2 linked regions of the Neodiprion lecontei genome follow. The protein of the gene in region 1 purifies or fractionates together with the protein of each later gene. This does not show direct contact. Links are inferred from orthologs where the notes say so. Each region holds a gene or a part of one and is shown in the gene's direction. Other genes may lie near its edges.

Region 1 (7,902 bases):
TTCTTCCCAGAAATTCCAAGAACACTGGTTCAAAGGTGACACTCGAAACTGTGAATGAGATGATTCCTTGCCTTTATCGCATCACCGTTTGCGCGTGTATGCGTGTTTCTACAGTATTTCTTTGAAGTGCAATAATCACGTTAAGTGGGGAAATAAACTAACTTACAATTTGTTGGAAATATCTTACTATCTATTCATTCAAATTCATCGAATTTCTCAACAAATTTTCTTCGGTATAAATGTATGCGCAAACTTGCTTAATTGCATGCGTAATATGGCTTTGAGGAAATAATCTTGAGCTTTTCTTATATGTTATACCGTTGTTTTCCAACTTGCTCCATCAGAACTGTGAACAATACACGTCTTTGCATGAGAATTTATCCCCCCCGAAATCTCTTGTCCCTCTATTATGGACCAGATGTTCTGCTATAGACACATAATATACATATCAGAATAGCAACTTATCTGTATGGGGTCCGTAAAAAGGTTCAGTATACATATAGGGCATTCCATTCCAACTTGACCACAATTCAACCCTGAGCCTCTTGATTACATTAATATTTTTGTATCATTTCCGCTTTACCAATTCACATTTTTTTTGCTGTTTCAACTACTATTTACTTATAATTGGGGGGTAATAAAACACGGGGGTATTGAAAAAATTGTCAAGCAATATTTTTCTAATCAAGTAGATCAACGTTGTTTTAAACATACAAATATTTTCTATTTTTTCAGACAACACGAGTCTTGGAATTTATTTACAATGTTTTGACATGTTTTATTATATTTCATGACATATGTTATTTACATGTTACTTTACTGCTATTACCTTCGACTTGTTTTCACTCAACGCTGAGATACCCTGATTAATTTCCAGGCATTGCCAGATATTTCGTCAATGCTTACCACTTGCGAAATATTGATAAAATATGAATCAAAAATTAGCGATGAAAATATCTCGTAATTTATCGGATGAATTATTTCTTACCCAAGGAAGCGGGGACTGTGATCAAAATAATCAAGGCGAGCTTGATTTCTATTTTATTAGCTGATCACTGTAGTTGCACTTTTTAACTGGACACGTTGTTCAATAGTTTACCGATTTTTGGTCAAACGGACCTCTAATACGATCCCTAGCTTCAGTTTACAATTCAACACGTTTGCACATCCTGCAAATTCGTATCTATGACTGTAATCATATTTCCTGTACAATTATTGAGAATGCGACGGTTAAAATAAGGAGAATAAGATATGATTCTTTTGAAACATATGTAAATATATTTTATTTCATGATAATTCGATCCGGAAATTTTATTACCAAATATCCCCTTTCGGTGCACATAACAAAGCTTAAAATTACTTTCGTAAACAAAGCATAATCATTGTATCTTTGACCATACTTGGACTTACAAATTAGGTACTGTTTAGTTAGTCTTTTGATTAAAAAAATAGCAGTCCCGACTTCTATTTTAGCACATGATATAGGTTGTGGAAGTAAAATAAAAAATGTACACAGGATATTTTATTTTATTTATACTGCAGTTTATTTTAATTAAGACCCGGATCTTTACTAATATTATTTTAAATACAAATGTTAGCTGTCCAGCAAACGCTGCGTTCAGAGCTAACTCGCAATACGCACTGCGCCGATCTACCTGCCGGTACGCTACTGCTCAGCCTACACACACACACATACGTACTATACCTACTCTTACCTGTGACATAAACAGAATATACATATACAACTAATATCGACGTTCAATTTATATTTCAACAGCACAATTAGACAGTTATAATTGATTAAACAATATTTTTTCATTTCAGTAATGCGTATCTACGCAGTCACGCCAGCAGTTTTGTCTTCCTTGGCGATAAATCTATCCAGGATAGCTTCGCTAGGATAATCAGGCACGGAGAGTTGCCTGAAGCCCTCGTCGTCGACGAAGCAAATCTCGTGGCCATCCTGAAAGATGAATGGTTCAAACGAGTCCATATTGATTCAAGGTAAACTCACTGCGCTAATGCAATAACATTCGCAAAATTCGAATCCTCGACAAACGATTCTATTTATCAAAACAAAGAAATTACCGGATCGGCAAGAATGACGACAGTAACGCTAGCTTTTCCTGGCGTATCAAGCTTTACAAGATCTGTGAGAATCTTTTGGTTTGCTTCCTTTACAGTCTGATTAAGGCGCAGCAGGTTCTCGTATGGAATTGAAAATGCGATCCGCCCATAACCCTTTGCATGTGTCACCTCAGTCCCTGGAAATCATCCACCACTTTATAGTCCCAAATCTCAGAACTTACGATCTGTGACTGTGTTAAATTAAACCCAGAATGGCCGGCCGTCTCACCAATATCCTCAAACTCAAGCTCGGTCTGATTGTGGCCGAATCCTAATAGAACTTTGCGATCATCTTGCTTGTAGACTCTCAAGCCGAGAATATTCTTCCAATATGCAATTGTACGTTCTAGATTGGAACTGGATAGGGTGACCTTCTCGACCGGATCTGAAAGCGATGACGAGGTGGTAAATATCACAAGTTTATAAGCAGAGAGACATGCTAGACCGATGCGTAAACTAAAAGTAAATCAGATAGTATAAGAATCTGTATCAGGGAAAAATACAGAGCTCTATATTCCCGTTACCTCTATCAGCAGGCTGCGGTTCGTCAATAACGTAGTACTTGTAACCACCCGGTGCTTCAAGCACGAATTTCCCATCCTCCTCTCGCACCGGCCATCCTGAAGACCTTGCTCTTTCAATCGCTTCCTTGGATCTAATCGTTATCCCTTTAAAGTCATTGCCTCTTTCGTAAGAATCAATACCGTAGTTGTACGTCAGTTCGACAACAAAGTGATCGTCCTCAGGCCCGTAGCCGACCATAGTTTTGCTCCAGCGATTGGCGTAGGGCCTATAAATTTGGTAAAAATAAAAATGACGGTGGACAAAGAAATTATCGTACTGAAAATGATAGCGAGGATCGTAATTTATATGAGAAAGAACAATTGATGGAAAAGGAAAGGGACTGTCTTCAGACTAGGTTTATATTTTTTAGTCAACAGCTAACCCGTTGCAAGCAGCTTCGCAACCGTCCGAGAATTCCTCGTGTCTCAGAACCTGGAATACAAAGAGAGAAAAAAAAAAATCAATGCCCATATTTCTGTGTATAGAAAAATGAAATAAAACAAATGTATGGCAGGGTCCTTTCGTCCCTAGTTACGGTACTGTGAAAATTTCAAACGTGATAAAGGGCTGCAGGGTGTTTCGAAATTAATAGAAAACGGATTTAAGATGTGAACGACGCTATAGCGATGAGAAAAAATCTATTTGTATTATATAAAATGTAACTGGTGTGCAATAAGATAATCATAATAATTGACGTATCAAAATTATGTTTTCAACGTTTATGCAATGGCCGTGATTGTAAAATACCTGTAACAATGAATTGATAAATTCTAACCTTCATTCCGAGTATTTCGCGGTAGAATCTTGCAGTCAGTTTACGTTCACCAATTTTGAACACGAAATGAAGGGCGCGAGCGTTTACCATTATTGTTGGTAAAATATTCAATTTAACGATTTCGAATTTATCTTCACAATATTTTCTTCGTGCTTTCGCTTTTCTTCAACAAGATTGACGCACTGGGGAGATACCGGCTCGTCCTTATGACGTGTGAGCGATTTTTCTGGTCTATTCGATCATTTCGACCGCTGACAAGTGGTTTTTCCTCGAGGGTATAATTGCCATTGTTGTTATCGACGAGATGGTTCTAAAGCGCTCAAAGAATTCTAACCACAGTCGAGGTCACCGTTACAGACGTGCTTCATTATGGATATATACATTTACTGAGACAGTGTGTTAATTGCGCTGATATGTAATATCAGTGGTTAATTGTTGTTGAAAACAATCAGATAGAAATACACGTTCCATTTCGTAGACGCGCGTATCTCGTTCTTAATCGCACGTTGTACTAGCTTTTATTAGACAATTAATGCTCGTCTGATATCTTTCGCTGAATCCTTATCGCATGAGAGATTTCGAAATGGGTTTCTAATCTGTAATAAATTCCGATCGTAATCTATTCATGTTGCATAAACTCTCAGCTGTTCGTAATTGCCGCCGTTTCGTTCAGCCCGCAATTCGTAATTGTTCCTGGATGTTTGCAGCTGTTCCCCGGCAAACTTCACGCTTATATTCACTCCGTAATGTCCGAAGGGAAGCTTCGTGAGAAGCTTGAATGGTCCTCGCAAAAAAAACTCCGGAAATTCGCTGTATGATTGATCCGCACACGAAAAAGTAATAATACGTATTTAAATATAATCAGCTTCTTTAACAGTCCAGAATCCCAGCGTTCCGTCGTTCGCGGTAATTCGCTGTCATCTTCACGACGATGATCGAAAACATGCCAAGCATTGGCGGTGCATTACGACGATACCCAACCTAATACAACCCAACTCAACCCGAAAGCCTGAAAGACGCTATTGTCAAGTAGTATGATATACCATACAAAAAATAGTAAAGTTTAATTTTTCACGCTCCACAAAAGCAGCAATGGTGTCCTGCGACGAGATTAAATCCGAGTGGATATCAGTGTCGAGTAACAAAGGAGCGGAAAATGATGACTCGATTATTTTTACCGAGCAATTCGTGAATAAGGTGCAACACTTCAGCTCACAGTACGGAAGTGATAAAAGCATATCCTACACGGCGTACAACATAGCTGGTAACCCGAGCAAGTTTCCCGACTATGGTGATTTTCCTCAGGCATTTGTCATGGTAAGACATCATTTGCCGGTATAATTCTCATCCGCTTAACCTCAGTATCTCTGTAATCTGTTATAATTATTTCTAGAGAACGTACGGCTGCTGGTGGGACAAGGCGCCATCCAGACTAGTTGATTACATGCCGCAGAACAATGACAATGTCGTCTGCCAGGACTACATAGGTATGGAGACCACAACAACAACAATGACGATCCATATTCTTTATTACTGATAATTGAACCCTGTTACAGATGTGGCGTACGATCGTGAGGTTTATCCAATCAGAGTGTCCATATATGAGACTTATAACCCGGGCAGCGTTGTTGGAATTTGGGCTGCCGATAGCAGCGGAAAGTGGAGCCGTCTTTGGAGAGGGCTGCCGCAGGTAGTTTCACACAAGCCAAGGATATTTTCTCCCCCTCTACAGCCATGCTGTTTCAAGACCAAGATGCTTAGACTGGAGTTCAACCACAGTAAGCAGGACTATTACACAGAGCTGGATGCCGTCCTCCTCATCGGCACTTCGGAATTTATTCAACCCCACTTTAGATTCAACAATAAAAACTTGAGCACCTTGCTTCGGCAGCTCAACGACAGTACCCTTGATTGCGATGACGTTTATAATCTGACGCCAGATTATTTACAGACACACAAAGATTTAAGGGAGCTGAAAAACACGTTTTACAAGCACTGTCAACTCTCGAACAGGTATGTGATCCAGTTTTGCACCGTGTTTCTCGTCATTTCCAAACTCGAACTGGCAAACTTTTGATTTTGCAGAAATGTTACGGGTAGGATACACAAGGGGACCATAATTGACAGGCTAGGAACTGACTACCACTGCATACCGCCAATCGAAGAAGCAGTTAGCAGTCTGCACAGGTTTCTCCAGGAAGACTTTCCAAAATTGATGCAGGACATCGATCTTTCAACTTCCTCAAGAAGTGCAGTGGCTGGAAACAAGACTGGGAGTTCGTTACAGTCGGGTGATATTTGCGGCAGTTTTTCTGTGTTGCCCGTAAGCGTTTTTTCCGTTTTAATACATTTCTTAATAGAACAGTAATGAAATAAATTAGCCACAAATTTTTAGTATAATTCAATTACAAGCATTTATTTCACAAACCTGCAGGACGAAGCGGTACTGAAGATTCTTAGAAATCTCGATCTCAGATCTCTCTGTCGCTGTTGTCAAGTTAATCGGCATTTCAACAATATAGCAAGAGATGCACTTCTCTATACCAGCCTAAACTTGAAACCATATTGGTACTGTATTGACACAAGCGCGCTTGAAACGCTGGCCTCGAGGTGCCAATATCTTCAGCGTCTAGATCTCTCCTGGTGCGGCAACTACAACACGATAACATCTAAAGACATTCAGGAATTTCTCACGTCCAGCGGAAATCAGTTGACGCACCTTAGATTCAATTCCTGCCAGTTTGTCAACAATTCCGTGATACTGAAGGTTTCCATGATCTGCCGAAACCTAAAAGGTATTTACGTTTTCATCTCTCAATCGTAAAAGATTAATTGACCGTTATCGTTCGACGCACAGAACTTTGCCTTCGCAACTGCGTGGAGATAACTAAGGACGGATTTTGGCCTCTGGCAAACCTGCAGCAGCTCGAACGTCTCGAACTTTACAGAACGTTGATTCAGACGCCGTCGCTGTGCGCGATTCTTAAGGGAAATCGAGGCATGCGCCACCTGAACCTTGCCGCTTGCGACCACGTTCATAACATGGACGATATCGCGATGGAGGTTGCCTACTCGTGTCCTCACCTCGAAAGCGTTGATTTCTGGAAGAGCCATAGCCTGACGCCCCACGGAGTTAGAGCCCTCGCTCGTTGCACGATGCTTAGAGAGGTCGACTTCGGATGGTGGTTAGTATGAAGGAGAATTTTTTAAAAAACGGGAACTTCGAAGTTTGACTAATTTCAGCCTAGGCATGGGAGCTCCAGGGGAGTCGCTAAGAGCATTGGCTGCGTCCTGTCAGAATCTGGAGAAGGTCTTTCTCGCTGCTCTTCGCGGCCTCACCGATCGTGACCTCGAGCCGTTTTTAGCCTGCTCTAAACTCAGACAGTTGGATTTCCTTGGCGCAAGATCTCTTACTCCCGAAATATGTCTACGATTTTTATTATATTGCACTCAGCTGGAAATGATGGATCTCAGCTTTTGCGAAGGTATAAGCGATATGAAGATACACGAATGGCGTCAGCTTTATCCTCATGTATCTATTAAGCGTAGTTTTCAAGCAAGTGGATCGGTTTTTACATAGTTCATCGATGTTATTGCTCTGTTCGTCCGTTTATCAGTTGCTTTTTTTTTTTGACCATGTCACCTTGCAATAGTCCGAAATTCCCGTCTTTACAACGTATAACCATTGGAGTTTTGTCGGATGGTCTGCTTGGTTTTTTCCCTTGTAGATCAGTTCCATTTTCGGTGACATTTTACATCTTTGCACCAGGAAATCATTTGAAAAACGAATTTTCACTAGCTTGCGAAATCGACTTGGATTAATAAATTTTGGTGGACGAGTGACGATGCGTCGGGGAATATTTTATTAGAAGGTGACTCGAAATTTTTCAGCAAGCAACAACAACCTCTTCCGGTTTATTGTTTTATTCGTATAAAGATTGTTTTATTATTATTTATTATCGTGACATTATTGATAGACGCGAGTATATTTTATAATCGTTAATTTTTATCAAGTCTACACTGTATCTCCTTGAAAAACTTTTCTCTGGGATGATAAGCAATATACATCATCACTATTAAGAATGATTAGGATATTCTACATATTTAGTTCAAATTTGAAGTGTCGAATTGCCGTGGTGTCATATTATCTTCATATTAGCTCACGTTCTTCTAAGCTTGAGATCTTCGTTCGAGTAGATATACCTATGTGAGTACATGCGTATGGAGTAGTGCGTACTTAAGAGCAGAGTTCTTTCCGTCCAAAAGACTGATCAAACATGTGCTTTTTTTCCACTCTTCGAAGCAATCGTTCCTGCATCATGTGACTGAAAAAAGATCCACAGACACGATATAAAATTGTACATATCAAACGCAGCTAATATAATAAATCTGGAAAACAATTGTACCTCTGGGGCCTTAGAAAAAAAAAATATGGT
Region 2 (4,996 bases), on another chromosome or scaffold:
GTTTTGATTTCTCTGATGCTGCCTTTCCTCCTCCAACATAGCTTCCAGGCATTCTTCCATCAACTCCTCCTCTTCGAGCTGCTGTAGTACCTGCAAAATGATTTATTTGCTATGATACCCCAAACTTGTCACCAATTCCAAAAAGTTAGTGTTTCTTAGTTTTCCTTGGTTATAGTTTTTATTTCAAACACTGTACATATAAAACGTTCATGAATCGAATTGTAACTTTCAGAATCGACAAACGAGAAACGATTTTAAGAGTTACAAACCAACTACAGAACCTTGAATCATTCCATCCGATTTTTAAAATTCAAGTACCTGTTTGTCAAATTCTTCTTCGTTCTCCATCCACATATATTCGGAAAAGTCTCCATCTCCTGCAGCCTGGACATCGGCCTCGGTCTCGACAGTATCAAGATATGAGATAACCCCACTATCATGGCCATAATAGCCGTTCCCTGAACCACCGGTTGGAATCTTCATTTTCATGCCAGTTTTGTATTCAACACTGAAACACATTATTTTAACACTGACAATAAGATGCTACTATAGAGTTTTAATTTTTTAGGTTTCACGCGTTTGCGCGTCTGAATTTGAATTTAAGCTGAAAGAATAGTCGATTGTAACTAATCAGTTATTGAAAACGAAATCTATCAAGATCATTCAAAGCCCAGTAATTCACGGGAACAAACGACCGACCGTACGACGAAATTAAATGGACTGATGTGTAATTCCATTCGCAATTGTGTGGCAATATTAGAAACCGTTCGCGTAGCAGAGGAGGGGAATATGCGAAGGAGGCCAGGCGGTTCTCTCCGTCTATCTGAACGCTGAAAAAATACGAGCAAAAAGTTCGACAATGATCCGATTGGAGACGGTGACCGTGTAATAATTATTTTCGAAAGGTTGCTGACCAAATTCAACCTTGAGTATTCCCGATTCACCTTGGATGCCTTGCAGACGCCTTCATTGAAAACAAAAAAAAACACTGAGAAGTTGCATCGCGTAATAAGAAAAATATAAGGCTACAGCTGTGAGAGTGAATAATTTACGCACATATCTTTGCATTCACGGACGCGCTTGTGCATTTACACATGTATACGTATGGATATAACTTATGGCAATGCACAAAACTGATATTCGGTTGGATAAAAATACTGAAGAATAGTTTACCATCAATTTAGTACCGAAACTCAATGAATACCCAAAATTTAGCACAGTTTAGTCTACCGATTCATATTAAAACGAAATAACCAACGAATATCACTTGACAGATCAACTAAGAAGCAACCATTTTTCACTGTTTCGCTCGCAGCAATCGCAGAGTTGAACACATTTTTGTTATTCGCGATTTAACTGAGAATTATTGACATGTTATATGCAATTCCATCACATGTATAATCGTTATGCGTCTGATAATTAATCTGCCACGTACCTTACAATCCGTTCCTCAAAATATCTCGTCTAAAATACGAATTACGCAGTTATTCAGGTAAAATACGTGTCATAAAGCGTGAATTAGCGGTGCAGCGTATCCGTACGGTGCTGCCACCTATGTATTAACGAACGAAAACCGCACGAAGCATTACACGAATTGGGGACAACAAGTTAGTCACAACAAGTATCGCGTGCGACTTATTCAACAACGTTGAATAAACAGACGTTGACAATTAATCCCAACGGATGAATTTTGAGCCGTTCTAAAATCGAGCCGGGGGCTGACGGCGTTGAAAGGGCGAAACGCTCCAATCGAGACTCTGCGCCAATCACTGTAGTATATTTACGTTGGAACGAGACCGCTGATTGGCCGACCGTCTGACGTCTGTGGTGTTGACATTTTATCAAAACAAAGCAGCAGCTCCGGTCGTCTTTGCTCCCGCTTACGCTGGCTGGCATTTTACCGTAGGAATTCGTGCCGCGAGCGTGCGGTCTCTCCGATCCGTTGGTATATCGTTTGATAGAATTTGGTGGTGCCTTCAGTTGTCTGTTTTATAATTGATAATAACTTCGAGGAGTCTGTTGTGTCTCCAGGATGTCGTCAACGGCGAAGTTTACCTCCGACGATCTGCTCGGTGGTGAGTAATGCAAAACCAATCCTCACGATCACCTGTGAAATCAAACGACTAATGAACGCCACACAGCAGCTGTCAGTAGCATACATACGTTGATCACACGCAGCCATTTCCCCTGCTCTCGAACCGCACGTAAACAAATCGGAGATATTCCTTTTTCTCCTTCAATATACCTACGCTTTATTAATATTCAATTTACTGTTTACGTTCAGTTGCTACCACCGCGATGTTTCTTTTTTCTTTTCCTTTCTATCATTTATGTTTTTTTTTTTATTTACATCGGACGTACGGGTAAATCGATATCAGAATTTGCGTGCTTCTCCCACGCATGTAATTGCGTCTTAAAATAGGCTGGATTCGAAGGGACAAAAAAAAGTATCCAGTTAAAGTTTCTTCGCGTCGCACACCTTGTCTGAAATTCAATCCGGCAAAATTGTCTGTTGAATAATGTTAGCGTACGTAGACGAGTATTTGTGGTACGATCGTCGAAGCGACGCAAATAGTAATGGAATATGATTAAATGGCTATGTAAATTAATCTCATACCTACAAGTTAGATGTATAGTATATATGCGCACGATTAAAATATGTACTTAACAAAGAATATCGGCTCGTTACCTGGAACCTTGACGAATGAATCCCGAAACTTTAACTCTTCTCTATTTTGCCTACAGACCAGCATCTTATGCGTTATGAAAAAAAAAACCATACATCGAGATCACTGCTCTTAGAATCGCTTGTATTTGCCTACGTCTCAACGTTCATCCCACGTCTCGCGTTTTATAATTTCTATACAACCGCTAAAGTCGAATAAAACGCTTCGCTGTGTACGATTTCATTCCTCGCTGCTGCAACAAGTACACACACAACATACATACATACGTTTACGTTACATTCAACCCGCCTTGTTTTGGAGAGACTGAGCTTCGGAACATCAATAAACCCACGTTCTAACTCGCATTCGTTTTCTGCGTCGTTCGCCGCTCATGACTCGACTTGTTCGGACAAGAAGAAATGAAATTCGAATTCTACTGCGTTGTAGGAAAATGGCAACGCGCTTATCAGTCGCGCTACGTTTTAGCCAAGCGTGAACTAGGAATAGCGTGTTGTGTAATTAAATCCGGCTAAGAATTTGCGGTCGCTTTCTTTGTGGAGTTTAATGTTGGGTATTTTTTCGGCTGTATAGATAAGGCATACAATCTAGAAACTAATCGTTTCAAATGTTTCGCTTGCGGGCATTGATTCGGTTGTGCTTGAGTAACAGCGTAGATGGGTAGTTGCCGTTATATGATTACAAATTTTTGTCGCTAATGAATCCTCGACGAACGATAATATACCAGACGGACGATAATATACCAGACGGACGTTGCGTTTCATTTCGCTCATCGATACATCAAAAAGTCATAATATAATTATAAAATAATGATACCTAGATTTGAGAGGTAAGAACAATCACTCTATTGCTTCTGGTAAAATTCCTAAGCCGTATTCCTATGTACGGATATAATCTTTTGACGCATCTCGGCTTGATGCGTAATTTCAGCGTGGCAAAATGACGAGAAATAATATTCAATAAAAAAATGCGCAACACGCGAAGATAAAGAAAAGAGAAAATCGTGTATGTATTTATACACTATACGAGCATAATGAAGAAAGAAAGAATGAAAATAAAGAAGGTGCTGACGCATCGAGAATCGGAAGACACGACGCTGTTGGACGTCACTGAATCATCAGATTCGTTGAGAATCTATACTTATCGTACATATGTACATATTTGTATATGCTCACGTATGCCTGGGTAGAATCGTTGATAATTACGATAAGAACGCGATCAATGCTGCAGCACACTTGAGACAATCGATTGAAAAATACTAAAAGGAAGGACGAATTATCTGTCAATTTATTTTATGCTTGCAACCCGACGTCGATTTTTCTGCTCAGCAATATCACAATACATAATATATATACAGACACTTCAGTTTTCCATATCGCACGGCTCTCGGGTCAATTTTCCGTGTGTATAATTATAATACATACAATATACTTGTAACAGATGTAGGTATCCGTATATTTGTTGCAGAAAAAATAAGAGCAACTTCCGATGGATACGGATTTTTGCAGTGCAATAAACAAGTGACGTTGATAATTAATACGCGATCGGTTTGTATTCCTCTATTCTCCCTGTCTGGTTATTACAGAAGCAAAATTATTTCTTCCAATACGCGTATATCCACTAATTCAACGAGATATTTTGACAGAATTATTCACAATTTCCTCATACGTTGAATTGAGTGTTTTACGATCGTTAAAATTTGAAATTTTATATTTAGAATCTAACGATCGGTTCATTTATCGCTACAGTGTACTCTCTCAAAATCCCCCCCCGGCCGAAGTTTACAAGGATGAAGTTAGTAACATTGTTGCAATGATTTAATTATCGGAAAAACCGTTACTTCACAATTGCAGCAAGATCTGAAATGCAGTAAATCACAATACGGCGAAACTTATTCATATTTTGAAGATTTAACTACTTCAAGGTCACTATAAAATTTCAAAATAGTAATCCCTACCCCCCAATGTTTCGTTACCTTAACCATACTGACTTCATCCTCATCCAGTTTTATGAGTTTGAAGCACAATTCTCTCAACAAATGCAATAATGGTTCTGTCATTTTTTTTACCAGACAAAGTTATTCCCATTTAAGACGTTTGAATGGGTAATTATGTATTGACAAAAAAAAAAATTAAAAAACGCATATGCTAATGAAATATTGCTAGAGAAGTATTTTTCCAGGTTTAAATCAAATGAGATGGGAGTCTAATAACCGATGTAAACGATGTATCCGTGCTTGCATGAAAGGCTCGGCTGGCCCTAATGAGAGAGTTTGCGACTTTTCCGTGAAGGTAATTGGGGGTGGAGGGATA

The links.
Region 2: the proteins of F-box/LRR-repeat protein 4 (region 1) and BCL2/adenovirus E1B 19 kDa protein-interacting protein 3 purify together in Homo sapiens (affinity purification with western blotting; 4 studies listed by BioGRID, with this or other methods). This does not show direct contact. The link is inferred for Neodiprion lecontei from reciprocal best matches to the Homo sapiens genes FBXL4 and BNIP3.

The regions. Positions count from the first base shown.
Region 1 is NC_060266.1:964,590-972,491, reverse strand, and holds the start of F-box/LRR-repeat protein 4, read left to right. Parts: upstream 1-1,963; 5' UTR 1,964-1,970; coding exon 1,971-2,004; intron 2,005-2,088; coding exon of another isoform or gene 2,089-2,264; intron 2,265-2,356; coding exon of another isoform or gene 2,357-2,512; exon of another isoform or gene 2,513-2,532; intron 2,533-2,651; coding exon of another isoform or gene 2,652-2,917; intron 2,918-3,073; coding exon of another isoform or gene 3,074-3,123; intron 3,124-3,466; coding exon of another isoform or gene 3,467-3,556; exon of another isoform or gene 3,557-3,860; intron 3,861-4,173; exon of another isoform or gene 4,174-4,303; intron 4,304-4,553; coding exon 4,554-4,783; intron 4,784-4,859; coding exon 4,860-4,953; intron 4,954-5,022; coding exon 5,023-5,479; intron 5,480-5,551; coding exon 5,552-5,789; intron 5,790-5,900; coding exon 5,901-6,261; intron 6,262-6,323; coding exon 6,324-6,651; intron 6,652-6,709; coding exon 6,710-7,046; 3' UTR 7,047-7,902. Other genes in the region: glyoxalase domain-containing protein 4, read right to left, coding at 1,835-1,963, 2,089-2,264, 2,357-2,512, 2,652-2,917, 3,074-3,123, 3,467-3,556. UniProt on the Homo sapiens protein: Substrate-recognition component of the mitochondria-localized SCF-FBXL4 ubiquitin E3 ligase complex that plays a role in the restriction of mitophagy by controlling the degradation of BNIP3 and NIX mitophagy receptors.
Region 2 is NC_060265.1:18,583,751-18,588,746, forward strand, and holds the start of BCL2/adenovirus E1B 19 kDa protein-interacting protein 3, read left to right. Parts: upstream 1-1,939; 5' UTR 1,940-2,032; coding exon 2,033-2,075; intron 2,076-4,996. Other genes in the region: polyadenylate-binding protein-interacting protein 2, read right to left, coding at 1-90, 319-508, 1,785-1,837. UniProt on the Homo sapiens protein: Apoptosis-inducing protein that can overcome BCL2 suppression. May play a role in repartitioning calcium between the two major intracellular calcium stores in association with BCL2.